3 linked regions of the Rattus norvegicus genome follow. The protein of the gene in region 3 interacts with the protein of the main gene of each other region in a biochemical or structural test. Links are inferred from orthologs where the notes say so. Each region holds a gene or a part of one and is shown on either strand. Other genes may lie near its edges. The genes, in order: Crhr1, Htr2a and Mpdz.

Evidence for each region.
Region 1: the proteins of Mpdz (region 3) and Crhr1 form a complex in vitro, tested with the Homo sapiens proteins (2 studies listed by BioGRID and IntAct, with this or other methods). The link is inferred for Rattus norvegicus from reciprocal best matches to the Homo sapiens genes MPDZ and CRHR1.
Region 2: the proteins of Mpdz (region 3) and Htr2a form a complex in vitro, tested with the Homo sapiens proteins (2 studies listed by IntAct, with this or other methods). The link is inferred for Rattus norvegicus from reciprocal best matches to the Homo sapiens genes MPDZ and HTR2A.

What each region holds. Positions count from the first base shown.
Region 1 is NC_086028.1:89,574,975-89,578,627, reverse strand, and holds part of Crhr1 (corticotropin-releasing factor receptor 1), read right to left. Parts: intron 3,048-3,653; coding exon 2,941-3,047; exon of another isoform or gene 2,876-2,940; intron 2,244-2,875; coding exon 2,123-2,243; intron 1,951-2,122; coding exon 1,797-1,950; intron 1,593-1,796; coding exon 1,532-1,592; intron 1-1,531.
Region 2 is NC_086033.1:56,426,557-56,429,266, forward strand, and holds the end of Htr2a (5-hydroxytryptamine receptor 2A), read left to right. Parts: intron 1-1,253; coding exon 1,254-2,056; 3' UTR 2,057-2,147; downstream 2,148-2,710. UniProt on the Homo sapiens protein: G-protein coupled receptor for 5-hydroxytryptamine (serotonin).
Region 3 is NC_086023.1:100,963,684-100,967,367, forward strand, and holds the start of Mpdz (multiple PDZ domain protein), read right to left. Parts: upstream 2,822-3,684; 5' UTR 2,692-2,821; intron 1-2,691. UniProt on the Homo sapiens protein: Member of the NMDAR signaling complex that may play a role in control of AMPAR potentiation and synaptic plasticity in excitatory synapses. Promotes clustering of HT2RC at the cell surface.

The sequences.
Region 1 (3,653 bases), on a different chromosome or scaffold from region 3:
GCGCAGCCCATGCAGAGAAGGTTTCACAGCTAACACTCATTGCAAGATGTAGGCCTGCCTTACAATCCCCCTGAGCTAGCCTCAGGAGTAGGTTGGGACTGGGTACATCAGAAGTCCCACGTTCCTATGGATGGGTATAAGGACTTGCAATGGATGCTGTAAGCCACAATGGGAAGTTAGCATATGTGACCTCCTGACTGAAATGTCAAGGTTTTCTTGTTTGTTTGTTTTTGATTTTTAAACACCATTCAGGTTACACACCACTGTTTACGGACTCCAGACTGGGACCCGGAGCCTCTCAGTTCATCTTCCCCGCTCCTTCTGCTTCACTGTCTGCATTTATCCACCAGAGGGGGCTACAGGGCTGCTCACGCCTAACCTTATAGCGTCCTTCCCGCTCCAGGGTGGGAGCAGGCTCGTTTCTGGGTTTTCCTTCTCTGCCCATCTCTTTTCTTCTCCCATCTCTCCCTCCTGTTCTTTCTGCCCCGTCTCTTGTACTCAATTTTTCATATGCTTCAAAGCACAGGCTTCCCCCATCCAGGAATTCCCAAGAGGATACCACCCCCCGCCCCCAGGATACTGCGCACCCACGGCAGTGAACTGGCTCCCTGTAGTCTGCCGCCTACCCTGCTGCTGCATAAAAAACCCAGCCTGAGGTAGAAAGAACAACCTTCACAAATGTGGATGATATTTTCCCAGGCTTCTCGTGCAGCCCAGTGAGGGGAGGGGAGAGTCTGTCAATGTGAACCCTCCAGTCAGCCAGCTGGGAGCTGGGGATGCTTATGTGTAACCCAGACTGTCTTGCCCGGCCCCTCCCACCTTCTCGGTCTTTCTGTGAAGTTCTAAATCTTCGCTTTACACTGTAACCACCTTGCTACCCAGGCCATGACAGTCCAATAGCATGGAGCCCTGAGGTATAGAACTTTCTAGATCTTCCCCTAAGATCCTTGTGAGGGACGGCTGGGAAGTCCCCCATGTGCAAGGCTGATTCAGATCCAGCTGGAAGAGTCTTTAAAACTACCTGGACTAGTTTTGTTTTTTTTTTTTAACCAATAGAATCTTACTACGAAACACACCTTGATGTTAATAAAAATGTATGTAGCACCTACTGGCTGGCAGGTACTAACTAGTCTATGTGCTTAGTATGCATTGATGCCCTTCATCCCCACTACAGCCTAGAGGTGATAAATAAAATGAAGATGCCCATTTCATGGATGAGGAAACTGAGGCCTGCCATGACAATGAGCTCCAAGGTCACACATAGCCACTCAGTGATGGCACAATCCAGCACCTGGGCTGTGTGGCTTTTGGTATTGCTCTCCTTAAAACTCCAGACAGGTAACAGGCTGGGACCCTGGCTGTCTAGCTCCACCTTCTCAGCAGAGCACTGGAAAAGATCCTAGAATTGAGGCCAGTGCTCTGCTCTGCCTTTGTGGACGCAGAAGCCACTGTCTTTACAGGAGAGACAATGGCCCAAGTCCCCTAGGGAGTGTACTATAGAGCTAGGCTCTGACCTCACAAAGTAGCTTACTTTTCATTGTCGTAGTGCAGCTTCCCAATGGCCCAAGCCACAATGATGGGGAAAGGTACACCTGAGGGAGAAAGCAGATGTCATTGGAGGACCCCAGGTCAGCCAGGGACCCACAGTAGAGCAGGGATTCGTGGGAGTTGAGTTCTGACGCTTCCTGGCAATCCCCCTACTCTCACCCCTAAGAAGAGTTCGCATCCCACCCTCCTGACCCAGCTGGCCCATATCCTCAGTGAGGAGAGGCAGGGGCGGGGCTGGCCCAGCTCACCCCAGCCAATGCAGACGAACATCCACTTGCGCAGACGGTCGGTGGAGTACGTGAGCACAATGGCTGTGTGCAGGTAGCAGCCCTCACCGAACATCCAGAAGAAGTTGGTTACATGGAAGTAATTGTAGGCGGCTGTCACCAACCTACACCAGGCCTGCCCCAACCAGAGATGACAATGAGCTTGGGGGTGTCCAGAGACCCCAGTGTCCAACCCTCAGGCTCCTTGGGGTCCTATTCTTGTTCTGTGGGTACCCGGGCCTGGCCCTTCTACAGGGTCGCCCTCTGACCTAGACTTTGCCTTTTCTGCTTCTCTAGCTGAGACGTACCACATTGCTCTGGTGCACCTCGGGGCTCACGGTGAGCTGGACCACAAACCACGTGGCGTTGCGTAGGATGAAAGCCGAGATGAGGTTCCAGTGGATGATGTTTCTCAGGCACCGGATGCTCCTGGGGCAGCAGGAGAGGGCAGGTGGCCATAGCAACAGGAGGAGAGAGAGGATGAGGGCAAGTGTGAGCATCTCTCCAGCCCAGACACAACAACGGAGAGACTGAAGCTTGGCGTGAGTGGGACTGACGGGCTGGCCTGAACTGCACTGGTCCCTTCCTATCTTGGGCGGCCAAGACATCTGCTCCTGGAAAAGCTTGGTGTGGTCAGGATCCCCTCTCATTCCTCACACCCCAGGATTGAAAAGCAGAGTGCTTACAAACAGGAGAAGCCTCCAACAGCAAAATCCGTCTCGACTTTCAGCTTCTGGTGCTACCCACTAGACACTTTTTCCTGTCACTCTGGCCACAGCTCACTTGAACTTGTGAGAGGGATGCCACTCGATAAAGCCCTCACCTCCAGGGGTCTCCCAAGATGGATACAGACCAGCTTTAGGCATTGCTAACAGCAGGTGAGCCTGGGCTCGTTTCTCCCTACCCTACTTCCCTCAGCAGCTGCTGGGAGAAAGGACAGGCATGACTCTGCAGAGGTCCTAAGAGACCCGAGCTTCACGTAGGTGATACTCTTCTATCCAAATGAGAGATAGGTGACCCTTTGTCAGTGCCCCCACCCCACTGCTAGGCCTGGGTCTTACCCACTGCCCCGCAGTACGCTCAAGGTCCCAGGGGGTGGCGGGTGGCAGTGCCCATGCCTTCTCACCTGAGCCGCAAGAAGAGGACAAAGGCCACCAGGAGGGCTACCAGGGAGATGCAGTGACCCAGGTAGTTGATGATGACTGCAACATGGTAGTGTACTTTGCTCTTCTTCTGAGGGAGGAGAGAGGGCAGAGGTGAGCGTCCTGCACAGCCGCACCTCTGTACCCATTGTACTGAACAGTACCAGGGAGGGGTGCTGGGGAAGAGTGGGCAACAGTAATAGGGTTTGCCCCGCCCCAGAGTGACCCTGTGAGCCACTCACGTGCCACCTTGGAGTAACACCATCCACTTGGGCCAGTCTCTGAATCTGGTCTGTCACGTGTTGCAGACAGATAGGAACTGAGGCTGTATCTAGGTCACACGACGCTCTGTGTCACATTAACACTGTGCACACTTACACAAACACTCAGTGCCCACACATGCCCATGTCTCGCTCTGTCCTGGCTGCACAGGCTCGGGTGGGTGCAGAGACCCCAGCCCTCCAGAATTTTATTTCTTATTCGCTTCTAAACTGAGTTCCCATCTTCCTGGTCACACCCGAATCTGGCTCAATGAGGACTGGGACTTGGATCCCTGACACCCTCATGAAAGCTGGGTGTGGTTATGGAGACTTGTAACTTCAACACGGAGGACCAGAGACAGGTGGGTCCCTGGATCATTGGTCTGCCAGCCCCGCGACACTGACAGCTTCAGGCTTAGTGAAGAGATCCCAGTCTC
Region 2 (2,710 bases), on a different chromosome or scaffold from region 3:
GGCAATTCATCCTTATGAATGTTCTGCTATAAAAATATATGACTTCTATGGAATAATGGAAGTCTGAACACAAATTTGATATTTCATGATGTGGAAGGAAACTAAATTCCCCTTTAGGAGAAAGCCTGTCTATGATAGTGAGTTTCTCTGAAAGGGTGTCACTTTCAAACCTATATAATAAGATGTGTACATGTTTAGTCATATGAAGTCTGAGGTTTGCTTCAAAACAAGGAGGGAGGTCCCAGGTGAGGACCCTGGAGGACACAATATCTGTCCTGAATTTACAACTGTAAAAGCTAAGGGACTTCCTTGGCTTTGTCCGTTTTGGGGTTTCACAGATGTTAAAATTTCTCTGAAGTAAAAACTTTTAAAAACTAACCCAAGTTCATTTTGAATTACTTGAAATTAACAGTAGAGAATGTTTTCCAAAAGTAGTTTAAAATATGTCCAACTTTGAAACCGGCCATGGTGGCTCATATAACTCAAGCGACTGAAGCAGGATGGATGTGAGTTTGAGGCTATCCCAGGCTAGTAGAAGACCCTGTCTCAACTAGCAAAGGTTTTATAATAAATATTAAATGAGATAGGACGATCTAAAACTGCGACATAAAGTCCTGTGCAAACAAAAGTAACCTACCTTGGTGGCGAGAGTAAATGGGATTTTCCTTTAGTCATTGTTACCTTTTTCATATTTTTCAAATTTGCTAGAAAGCAAATATGTTAGGCTTATACGTTCACAAAAGAAGTAAAGAATGCTGATAATATAATATGAAGTGGAAAGTCAAAAAAATTGTAGATAAAGTAGAGCTTCGTCCTGTTGCCCAGTGCGTGCCTGGGTATGTACGTGCATTGGGTTCATACGTGCGAGGGCACCTGAGTGCGTGGGTACATACTACGTGCATGGGTACGTGCGTGGGTGGGTACGTTCGTGGGTGAGTGCCTTCCTGTATGCATCATGTGTGTGATACATGCTCAAACAAACATGCTTAAACTGCCCTTGCGGTTAGTCTGTTGATGAGGTTTTAGTGGTCATTTTTATTTGCTTCATTTTGCCATTTTGTGTTTTTCTCCAGTTAATAAATAAAATATAATCAGAACAATATGGAATATCAATTAGCCCAACTTTCATTGCAGCAATATATTAAACTCCTACAGTAAGATGGCTTCAATTCCTTGACCAGCCAGTGTTATGTGGTGAAGTTTTCACTTCATATTCTCAGCCCCTTGATCTGTCTCACTTTCTGTCCTTCCAGGTATATCCATGCCAATCCCAGTCTTTGGACTACAGGATGATTCGAAGGTCTTTAAGGAGGGGAGCTGCCTGCTTGCCGATGACAACTTTGTTCTCATAGGCTCTTTTGTGGCATTTTTCATCCCCCTAACCATCATGGTGATCACCTACTTCCTGACTATCAAGTCACTTCAGAAAGAAGCCACCTTGTGTGTGAGTGACCTCAGCACTCGAGCCAAACTAGCCTCCTTCAGCTTCCTCCCTCAGAGTTCTCTGTCATCAGAAAAGCTCTTCCAACGGTCCATCCACAGAGAGCCAGGCTCCTACGCAGGCCGAAGGACGATGCAGTCCATCAGCAATGAGCAAAAGGCGTGCAAGGTGCTGGGCATCGTGTTCTTCCTGTTTGTTGTAATGTGGTGCCCATTCTTCATCACCAATATCATGGCCGTCATCTGCAAAGAATCCTGCAATGAAAATGTCATCGGAGCCCTGCTCAATGTGTTTGTCTGGATTGGTTATCTCTCCTCAGCTGTCAATCCACTGGTATATACGTTGTTCAATAAAACTTATAGGTCCGCCTTCTCAAGGTACATTCAGTGTCAGTACAAGGAAAACAGAAAGCCACTGCAGTTAATTTTAGTGAACACTATACCAGCATTGGCCTACAAGTCTAGTCAGCTCCAGGTGGGACAGAAAAAGAACTCACAGGAAGATGCTGAGCAGACAGTTGATGACTGCTCCATGGTTACACTGGGGAAACAACAGTCGGAAGAGAATTGTACAGACAATATTGAAACCGTGAATGAAAAGGTTAGCTGTGTGTGATGAACTGGATGCTATGGCAATTGCCCAGGGCATGTGAACAAGGTTATACCCATGTGTGTGGGGCGGGGATAAGGAGGCTGCAACAAATTAGACTACTCCAGTCGACCAACTATAATGTCCTGACAGCATTGGAGCTAGGAGTGTTACGATGCTTTAATTATTGCCAATGAGATCTCTAAAACCATTGGCCTTTTGTGCAATTGTAATGAGGCATAAAATGCATCTAAGTAACTTCTATTGTCAAATACGAACCTGGCTGCCATGTTGTGGATGGGTAGCATGGGAGTGAGTTGGTGACTTATTATTGTATATAAAAGTAGCTAGAAATACTGAAAATAATGAATAGCTTAAAAAAGTGTTTCAAATTCACCACGACATATATTTTGAAAAGAAAAATAGACAGTAATATGACATTTGTATTGCTAATATAATTCATTGAAATACTTGACAATATTTTTCATTCTTGCTTTTTCATAGATGCCATTTTGAAATGTTCACAAGACCGCTAGCATTTGCTGCATTTGTCGTTAATTCTCAGATGTGGAAGGGTTTTAAATGTTATTCGATAACACGCTGCTTTCTCTTCTACTTCTTGGGCTTTACCTGAATTTGAAATGTGGTCTTGTTTCGTATATTTTTCTTCTCTGTAAAGTA
Region 3 (3,684 bases):
CTTGGGAACCAAGGACATCACTTCCTGTTATCACCAGCAGATATATTATAGTTCTCCAGCTGTAGAGTCCAGTACACCAGACTGGAAATGGGATGCCGTTTACTACACACACACACACACACACACACACACACACACACACAGTAGCTATGGAAGAGAGCAATGGGTAGAAGATGCCACAAGAGTCTGGAAGGACATGACAGGAGAGCCTAGGCTGCTTTGAAGGGGACAGTTGGTAAAACAAGGACATTTGGATGACTTTTCTGAGATCACAGATAAGAATGAAAAACACTGGGAAAAACAAAACTCCAGCTCCACATCCATCCATGCTTCCTACCACTTTCCCTTGACCCAAACTTTCGATTCTACTCTAGAAGTCTACAAACTGATATTCCCCTCTAGTTTCTGCCACCCACCTCCTTCCCAACCATTTCACCTACAGGTCTATGCTCTCTTCTTTATGAGAAACACTAACTTACGTTAACAGCAGCAACAACAGCAAAACTATTGTCACTTCATCATGTCAAACAACCTAAGACCCTTTGGCCGCTTTTTCTGAAGACCACACACAAAGGCTTTCTATTGTCGACTGTGATCAGTAAAGACATCAAGCTCCCAGAACACTGTATTTATTTTGTATGCCTCCTTCTGACCCACCTCCAGTCCTGCCACTGCTTAATCTGATGCAACAAGTCTCCAAAGCTTGCTATCTAATTACTGCCTAGCCACCATATTGAGGGCACCTGATTAATTAGCACTGATTTCTCTGCCCACTCTTTCTCCTATGGAGGCCCACTAAAGTTATCTAACTAATTACAATATAACAAATTTGCCATACTAGTTTCTCAAATCTCTGTAAATACTATTCGGTACCCAAAGCTTAAATTTAAAAGAGAAAAATACCTGTCTTATCAGCAAACTGATGCTTGAAACAATTTAACTATATTTACCCAAGGCAATTCTACCAAATGTTTATTTTTACAAACCCACTGAAGTGAGACACATCCCCCGGACAATCTAGCAATCCTGAATTCACTACAAACTCATCTGTTTCTTCGTTCTTGAGTGTAGACCTTCCTCTGGCAGATGGGGTGTTTATTCCACTGTATTTGGAGGCACGTCCAGTACAGTGTGTCAACTTTGCCTCAAAGTATTCGATGAAATTCAGAGTATGTTGACCATAATATAAATGTAAAATATGTAGCCAATCTGCGACTCAACTCAAGTCAAATCTATGAGGACAGACTTGGGATGTACTCGGCAAAATAATCTTTCACTAACTCAGGACAGTTACCATGGAAGCCACTTACTATTGCTCAGAAGCTTCTAGACCCCTCCCAGCTAGTCTTACCTCCAAAACATGTATCCAAGATTTCATACGGAAACCACTTTGCCTACTTTAGTTAAATGTTGAAAGCGCCAAGCACTGAATCAATGCAAATTTGCATTTCTGAAATTATCGCTCTAGAAACCTCCAACCAGCCGGGAAGTATGCTGTATAGACAACCTTTACTCCCTCATGGTGTTCCCTAGTTAGAAAGCATCTGAAATTCAAAGAAACCCCCCAGGGACTCAGACAGGAATTTGGAGCACCCTAAAAACAAACTTAACTCCCTCACCAAGCCTCATCAGGGTTCTGTGGTAAAAGAAGAATGTGGAGGAAGAAAGAAATCCAGAAGAAACTAGAAGAATCCAAGGGAAAAAGAACGCGTGAAAGACAAAGTGCACATATGTGCTGTAATCAATATGTTGAAGAAAAAAAAGTCCCATCAATTTTTGCTTTTTTTGTATTTAAATGGGGTGAGGAAGATAAGACAAATTACAGAGCATCCCAAATTAGCTTTCCTGGATCCTGGAACACATAATAGACCAGGTGCATTTATTCAAAACTTATATTAGAAGTTCAAATCAAAGGCGTTCAAAGTTTAATTTTATTAGAGTTTTAAATGCAATTGCTAATCTGGATTCTATCAGGCTCTAAAACAGTAAGATACTAAGTTGGATAACTTGACCGCTAAGAAATCATCATCTCTGTACAAATTCTACACGCAAAATCCTCCCATACCCCTAGAACCAACCCCCCCTCCTGTGTTCCCAGATTACTCATTTTATAAAGGGCATCCTAAACGAAGGTCTATGGACACACAAAGGTGATGTCGACTGCACAGCTGTCCTACAGCACAGGATGAGGTGACCTGGGCTCAGTTCTCAGATTCATCCCCTCAGGACACTGAAACAACGCCTCCGTGAGGAGTTTTCCCTCTAGCTGGTGAAGTCACCGTCCTCTTATCTGAGGCTAGAAGGAAACCCCAGCCTCCGCCCGCAGGCCTGCCTGTTCGCGGCGTCCTCCCCCAGCAGAGCAGCCCCCTAGCGCCCGCCCAGGCTGCCACCGCCCCCTCCTCCTCCTCCGCCTCCTCTTCCCGGCCGCCTATGACCCGGGAAGGAACTACCCAGTCCCCGAGCCCCTGGAGAATAGCAACCCAGGGCGCACCATCGCGCCCCACGAAGCAGGGCTCCAGCACAAAGCGCCTCCCGCACGCTTCCCCACCCCCACCAGGCCCCGGCCCTCCCGCACTCCCCGGGCCCGCGCACAGCAACAGGCGCGCAGGCCGCGGGGAGAGCACAGCAGGGAGCGCGCAGCCGGGGAAACTTCCAGAGTCTCGGGGGCAGGGCTCGGGCGGGGCCGCTTACCCTGCTCGCCGGCCTGGAGGAGACTCCCAGGGTGGGTAGAGCGCTCGGCTCCTCTCCGCTTTAACCACGGCCCCAAGAGCTCGGTGTGGCGGGAACGCTCACGCGTAGCCAGGGAACTGGAGCCCGCGGCCGGCCAGCCTCGCTGCGCGCCGACCAGGCTCCCGGAGGCCGCCGGGCTGCGGGAAGCCGTGACGCCGGCGGGGCGCGCTGGCCAATCAGGGGCGCGGCCCAGCCGCCGCGGGGATGGAACGACCGGCGCCCGGGCCGGGGCCCGCGTGGTGACGGACAGCGCGAAGGCGGCGGGGCGTGGGGCAGGCTCCTAAATGTGACTTCCAAGGGAAATGCCTTCTTTTTTAAGTATAGCATTTCCCTAATATTGCGCGGGAAATACTTTCTCTCCAGTGTTGTTGATATTTTATCAAAAATAATTGAACTGGGCTAAGAATGCAGTGTTTTATGCTCCCAGCCCCAGTCTCTAGTTGCAGTTCTAGTTCTCGGTGAGAACTGCCCTCTGCATTCGTGGCCTGTGCGAAGTGGCCAAGGGAAGTCCTTGTTTGAGAAATTACTTAGCACATCAAGATGCATTCTTAGCCTGGTGAGCCAATTAAAAGAATCAGCAAACTCCTGAGAAGAGCTCAGAGTTGTCTGCCACTGGAGGTAGTGGTTGGGAGCGGTGGTAGTGGTGGTGGTGGTGGTGGTACATTTCTATTGACCTCAGTTCTGAGTCCCACAATCTACCCCAGCCCTACACCTGTTAAAGAAAATACAGCTCTCTCTTTTTTCTAAGTCTAATATTAGAGTGTGCAATTTAAAACTCTCAGAATTTAGAATTGCGTTATAATTTTATTTTGTCTACTAAAAAGCAATTTGAGAATTTGAGTTTCTCTAACATTTACTAAATATTGAAGGAGAAAACACATAAAATGCACAAGAATGAAAGTGATGCCTTTCAATGAATATGTTTGCTTGCTGGTGTTAGTTGATTAAAGTGAA